Linked DNA regions of Drosophila melanogaster. The protein of the gene in region 1 interacts with the protein of each later gene in a pairwise test. Each region holds a gene or a part of one and is shown on either strand. Other genes may lie near its edges. The genes, in order: mRpS26 and Ser8.

The links.
Region 2: the proteins of mRpS26 (region 1) and Ser8 interact in a two-hybrid assay, tested with the Drosophila melanogaster proteins (one large-scale study listed by BioGRID).

What each region holds. Positions count from the first base shown.
Region 1 is NT_037436.4:18,104,703-18,108,227, reverse strand, and holds mRpS26 (mitochondrial ribosomal protein S26), read right to left. Parts: upstream 1,650-3,525; 5' UTR 1,567-1,649; coding exon 1,358-1,566; intron 1,262-1,357; coding exon 793-1,261; 3' UTR 729-792; downstream 1-728. Other genes in the region: Polr3D (RNA polymerase III subunit D), read left to right, coding at 1-266.
Region 2 is NT_033778.4:13,432,195-13,435,745, reverse strand, and holds Ser8 (Ser8), read right to left. Parts: upstream 1,540-3,551; 5' UTR 1,535-1,539; coding exon 752-1,534; 3' UTR 701-751; downstream 1-700. Other genes in the region: CG30065 (uncharacterized protein), read right to left, coding at 2,298-2,345, 2,406-2,609.

The DNA.
Region 1 (3,525 bases):
AAGGGCAGATCGGCAAGATTCTGAGGTACAAATCCGGTCGCGTTAAACTCCAATTGGGGGACACACGCTTTGACTTGGATATGGGTCTCGATCCGGGTTTTCTGCAGGAACTCATGTCTGTAACCGCCAATCGCGAGCAACGTAGTGGAAACATGATCAACTTGGGACCCATTCAAGCCAAACTAAAGGCCACTCCAGATTGGGTGCACCTTTTCCAGCAGCAGGATGCGGCATCCAAGCGAACGAATCCAGTACCGGGCACGTAGCACCCACTTCCCCATGGTAGATATGTAATATAGTAAATAGGCTGCGCCTAAGCTTAAGTTATTCCTATTCTAAATGCCGTATATAAAAGTTAAATATAGAAATTTTTATAATACAAATGCTTTTCAAAAGGTTATTAACAATTGTACTCGAATATGGAACATAAAAGAGACTCCAAGAAAGATGGGCTTGGAACTTGGGGATATGTAACGTAAATTAAGCCATCAATACTTAATGCAATGACCCAAGATTAATTTTTAGGTTAATGGATTGTTGATATATTATATGTTCAAATTAAGTGATTATTATAATTTCAAATACGGTCTTAAAATTTGAAAAGTATTCTAGTTCTAGCAAATCGCTTTACAATAGCTAGGTTATCCAATTCCTATTCTTTTGCGCAAATCAAATATACTTAAGTGTGTTGTTTATTGTGCAGAAAAATAAAAAAAAACACGGACTTTCAACTTTGGTTAGAAACCTATAAAAAGCATTTTAATGTAACAACAAACTAAGACACTGCATTAATTAATTACTCAAAACTTGCTGGTTGGGTTCGGGAGTGGCGTCCGGGAGCTGAGAGGTGCTTCGTCCGTGGTAAAGATTACCGGCCATATCGATGGCGAAATTGTGGTCCACGGGATTGGCCAACGCTGTCTCAATGGCTGCATCCAAGTTTTCCCTAGTGATATAGTTCTTGGAACGCTCAATCTCGAGCAGCACCCGCTGGTTGGCCTGCTCCTTGCGCTCCTCCTCGCGCAGCTGTTGTGCCTCCAATCGCTCCTGAATATAGGCCACCTTTTCCTCACGCTTCTTGGCCAATCGCTGATCACGCTCCTTGGCTATGGCAGCGTTCCAGGCAGCATTGGCATCCAGGCATTTCTGGAACTCGGCCTCCTCCTGCTCGGGAGTGAGCACGATGTGATCTGCTGTGGATGTTTCCTCGTGGCGGACGACTTCCTCCCTTAGAAACTGACGCACTGAGCGAAGCTGCGTTCTGAAATCAAGGCGTAGATTGTTTTGTATAACGTCTTTTGAAACCGATTACAAATTATCTTTGACCAGAGACAGAATCTGGCGCTGGTGCACGCACTTGTACTGGTTGTGTAGCCTCATGAGCTCCGTGCGCTCCTCCTCCGACTGCTTCTTGCGTTCAGGCACGCGGAACATCTTGCTCTTGGCCACCGGCAGCCATCGCGGTTTCCTGCGCCAGCGGACGAACTCGAGGGCGAAACTATTTCCGACCGTCTTCCCGGTGGGCAGGGTGGACTGCGTCAGCAGCTGGCATCCCGCTCGCAGCATTATAAAAGCAGTTTAATTAACAAAATGTAATTTTTACTTTGCCGCTGCTGAACTGTTGTGCAACTCTGTTGTCGGTGAACTGGTTCCGCGCAGTTCGATTGCTGGTTCCGTCAGTGATGACCAATATGGAAAATCGAAGAATCAAGGAATAAATCAATCTTAACAAATCAAATTCAGATAGAAAGGCAATAGTAATTTGGTTGTCAACTTACTAAATTTATTGTCGTACATATTCATATTAAAATATAATTATATACTCAGCTACATAGATATATTTTTAGGTACAGCTTAATTTTGCGTTGCTAACAAGTTTTTGCAATTAAATTGCGCAGGTTATGAATGTTTTTTATTTGTCCAAAGATACAAGCTTTGAAGTCCAGACAGATCTGTTGTGAAAATAGCCAAACTTCCAACGCACTAGTGCGTTTCTCACAATTGCGCTGCGCTCAGCTCGGGCTTAAAAGCTTTTGGCCAGGTGAACTTGACGGGAAGGTACGAAAAGTAACTGCTCACTCAGTCGACGATATATCGCCGCGCTGGCCGCATTAAAATCCGAGCTACGGAACTTCGCTGTTTCGCCTCTTGTACGTGGGCTAACTTAAAACAAAAGTGGCTTGCGCAGCCGGCGCGCCTTGAAAGTGTGTGTGTGTTCGTGTTTAAAAAAATAGTGTGCGTTATTGAAAAGCTAAGTCAGTTAGAAGCAGTGTGGAAAGTGCATATTGTATATATCTCTTGCCAAGGCTAAAAGTGTTAAAAGTTAACTCCCAGAAATGCACACACGCATACCGATGCAAGCGAAAAGTTAAAGCGACGATCATTCATTACTGCGTCTTCTTCTTATTCATCTGCTCTTTGCGACGTGTTTCGCTTACCTGTCCAAAAAGCCCGAGTATTGGTGGGCTCCACAGCTCCATAGCTCCCTCTCTCTCTCGCTCTCTTTCGATTTGCACATGCAAAAAGGCAGCAGCAGCAAGAACAACAACAAAAACTCCATCTGAGAGCTTTAAAGCCGAAGTTCTCGACGCAGACGTCGGCGGGAGCAGAGCTTCAGCAGCGCAGCGGCAGCGAACAACTCGTACAGGTTTGTTGGCATTTTTTTTCACATTGGCTTTTGATTTTTGTTTACCTCTGATTGGAATGGCAATTCGCACTGGTTGGACTGTAAATATTGTCTCATATGTGTGTCTCATGTATCCCAACCGCTTACCACGCACAGAATCGAATCGAATCGAATTGGATCGCTTCGTAGCTGGAAATTCTTATAAGGCGATCAATTTTGCATATCGAATTTGTTCAATTGCTTGAACTGCACGAAACAGGGGTTCTATTGTTCTCTTTTAATTAAATAACTAAAATGGGTAATGTAGACTTTCCTTTTTAAAACTTAGTGCCTTAAAATGCCACATCTTCTTTTCTTATAATTTAATTAGTGTACCTTAACTGTACGATTAAAAGTTTACTGCTCTCTAATCGTTGGAATGTTTATCTTATGCAACTTTTTCAATCTGTTTACTTTCACATTCTCCAGCATTTAAGATAAGATTTTATATCTAAAAACGTGATTTAAACAAGATTAATACAGAAAGAATGCAAAGTTGTTGGATGATAACGACAATGTACTAATCTAATTCCCTTTATTTCAATATAAATACTTAATATTCCCAACTATTTAGGTTAGCTTCTGTGATAGTTTGAAATTACCTATCAAATTGTGAGCTTAACTTATTTAAGCCAGTAAATTCCCGCTACACAACTTATTTTCCCACCAACATAACCTCGTTTGGCTTATCAACAACGCTCATTAAAAATTCCGAAAAAGAGTTGCAACTTCGGGGCACTGCACCACGCGACGCAGAAGTCAAAAGTCTTGCCTTGAACGCCTGAGCAAGTGCAAAATCTGCTTGCTAATTTATTTGCCCATCTCCAACCTGAGGTCTTTGAAAATCTAAACACAAAAAT
Region 2 (3,551 bases), on another chromosome or scaffold:
TTTTTTGTACATTGTGCACCAACTTTTCCGCTGATATACAATTAAAAAAGCTTTAAAAGAGCAATTACAAAAAGTAAACAGAATGTTTGCACGTCATTGACAGGCACTTTTGCATTCAAAATTTATTGTTAGCCATAAATTGGTTATTTAAATGACGACAATCAAAAGTTGTAAAACGCTTAAACCGATTAGAAACAATAGAGATAGCAAATTTTAAGTGCACATGCAGTGCATAAACGGGAACTCAAAGGAATTTCAAACTAAACTATCAGTGAGGAAGTTAAACCATTAGCAAAAAAAAAATGTTCCAGCAAATGAACTAAAAAAATTTGAATATTTAAATAAATGGCATACATAACTTTAATTTTTAGTAATACAAAAGCGTGTAAATGGAATAGACAGAGATTTTACATGTCATTCGCAGCCATGTCACAGATATGTCACCCGACTTTAGTATGCAAACGCTGTAACTGGCTTACCATGGGCTTGCCGCCCCTGTGCCCCGCCAGAATTGAAGGCCCCACCCGGCAGCCAACCCCTGTGGACTGACCCAGATTGCATGAGCCAAACGAGCGGCGTGGCCCACAGGAAGGGCACGTCCTGCTGCCGCATGTATGGCTCTGGGGACTGGATTCAGAAGTCACTGCTGTTGAGCAGTAAATGAGCGGAAGCAGCAGTTGAAATAAAAGCCCTGCCAGCTGCAGTTTAACTATACGTACTATGAGTGCGATTTTATTGTGCTTAACTAAAGCTAGACAGTCTTCTGGGCCTGAAGGACCCAATCTCTCAGTTCGGCAATGTTGGCATACACGCCGGGATAATTGGCGACGGCGCAATCTCGTCCCCAGGAGACGACGCCCACCAGTTGGCCTCCGGATACCAGAGGTCCACCAGAATCACCCTGGCATGCATCCTTGTTCGTCGCCGCTGCACAGATCATGGTTGCTTTGATGAAGGAACCATATCCGTAAGTGGAACTGCCACACTGCGAACGGCCCACAATTCTCGTGTCCACAAAGAGCAGCGTCGCTGACGAGGGGCCATCGGTGGAGGTCTTGCCCCAGCCTGAGATGCTAGCTGCTGATCCGTGAGCCGGCGTCGCACTGGCCATCGTAATGGCCTTGATGGTCGAGCCAAAGGTCAGCTTAGTCTTCAGACGCACCACTCCAATGTCGTTAATCTTGCTGTTGGAGTTGTATGCCTCATGTGCCTTGATGGCAGCCACCTCGACGAGAACGCCACCATAGGTTCGCTTATTGGAGCCAGCCCTTATCCGGAGATTGGAGACCGTGGTCGGAGTGTCCAGGCAATGGGCGGCGGTCACGATGATGTTGTTGCTGATGATGGATCCACCGCAGAAATGACTTCCGGAACGCTGCAGAGAAACCTGCCAGGGACGATCCTCAATGGAAGAGGCTGTGCCTCCAACAATCCGGCCACCTAGCGATGATGTTTGTGGTTCCAGGCCAATGGGAATGACTGCGCCATTCGTGAGGGCCAGCAGGGCTAAGAAAGTTGCTATTAGTAGGGACATGTTTGCGGTTCAACCTTGGATGGCTAACTAACTGCGATGGGTGGCCTTTTATAGCCACAGATTGGGCATTGCCCGCGTGCGGATAAGGTTGTCAAATGACACGGCCATATTTCATTCGTATCAATCGCTGATTACCCAAAAGGCCCATCATCCGGCAATTGTCTCCAGGTGCTGGCAGGAGAATATGGGTGCTTTTAATTACCGACTGGTTATTGATTAGTTAGCCGTGAGATAGGTGGGATAGGTCAGTTGCTGGGCTTAGACTTATCGTAGGAATGCTTGTTTTGACGTCTTAATCTGGCTATAATCCATTCTCTGTTCTCTCCAGCTATTGACTGGGCCTTACCAATTGTAAATATTTCAAATACAGATTACTTCTTCCGTTCGGTGCGCAAAAAGCGTTGTAAATTGCATGACCACTTACGTGCTTTGAATGAGCATGAAGGCCAAAATAGACGTAACCACTCTGCACTAGCTTATGCTTTTAATATACGAACAAAAAATATAGAAATGTAGGTACAAATCATGAATAACTCATTGGTCATTTGCTCGACTTCGTTCCCCATCGCAGGACACGGAAAATGCATTAAAAACAACGGACAAGTCCACATCCGCTTCGCTGGCAGGACTCGGGCTCTCGTTTATTTGCCAATTAGGTTAAAAGTGTCACGTTCAGTTTAACAACTTCCGCCAGCGTTTCGTTCCTGTTCAGTATTGGTTCTTCAATATGGGCAATGTGGGTGGGCCGGAGTCATAAATTGGCCTAGTGCTTTGTAAAGCAAGTTTTCGACTCGGTCGGCATGCTCTGGCGCTGAAAAGCCCACAGACCGTATCAATGGGGAATTCATGTCTGTGGTGTTTCAGTACCTACCAAGTCGTTGTCGGACATAAGGCGCCTCTTCCAGCTGGTCAAAGTTTCCGAGTAGGTATAATACTCCACCATCCGGTTGAAGGTTACATGCTTCTTTGTCTTCGAGGACTCCTTACCGATGCCATCACCTGCTCCGTCCAATTCGATATCCTTCATGATTAGAATGGGCTTGAGCAACGAGCTCGATGGCTGCTCTTCCGACATGGCTTATATTGATATAAAAATATACAACTTTTTTAACCTGACTGAAATCTGGATTCAGGGATTGATAAGAACTAAATTTGACACTATATGTTTCAATGCTACTACGATAGTTTTCGTTTTTCGTTTTTCGTTTTCCTGCTAAAAATATGTCACGAATTTATATATTAATTTAATACAATGGCAAATGTATTTGTTACCATTTTATTTATTGGTCACGTATTTATATAGGTGAACCCAAAAGAGAGATCTTTCAAAAGTATACGCAAATATATATTTGATTATTTATTAATTTTGCATTGTTTGTCAAATCATTGCTAATTTCTGTGGGCTTAAAAAAATATTTGTCAGAAGTGGGATTCGAACCCACGCCCTCAAAGAGGACCAGAACGCTCATTCACAAACACTTTCGTTCAGAAAGTAAGATTTTCAATCTTGAGTCTGGCGCCTTAGACCGCTCGGCCATCCTGACACTTGATTCCGCAAACGCCCAAAATCTAGTGTCATAAAAGTATATACAAAATGGGGCGTTGAACCAATAAATTAGGATGTTCTCTGTTTGCCATTATATTGTCTAAAAGCATTTTCAACTCGTTGCGAAGATAAGATCGTTCAATAAACCGTTTAGCTTGATTGCCAAAGCAAATTAAGATACCTCACACGCGGAGAAGTTGGTCGGCTAAAGGGACGGGAAATTCAATCATCCTTGATGGTAAATTGAATTGACATTTCACTCAGCCGCCTTGCGAGAAATAGACCACGTTAGATCATCCTTGTCGGCTTTATGTGACATCATCGCAGGATACTCACTGTCCTAGCATGCACGGCATGAGATAACATTAGCAGCCGTCCATAATTGGGCTTCGCTTATCTAGGTTTGTACAAAAAGCTTGCGGGACACGTTCTCATCAAATCTATACTAACTTTTTAATTTTCAAAGTGCAT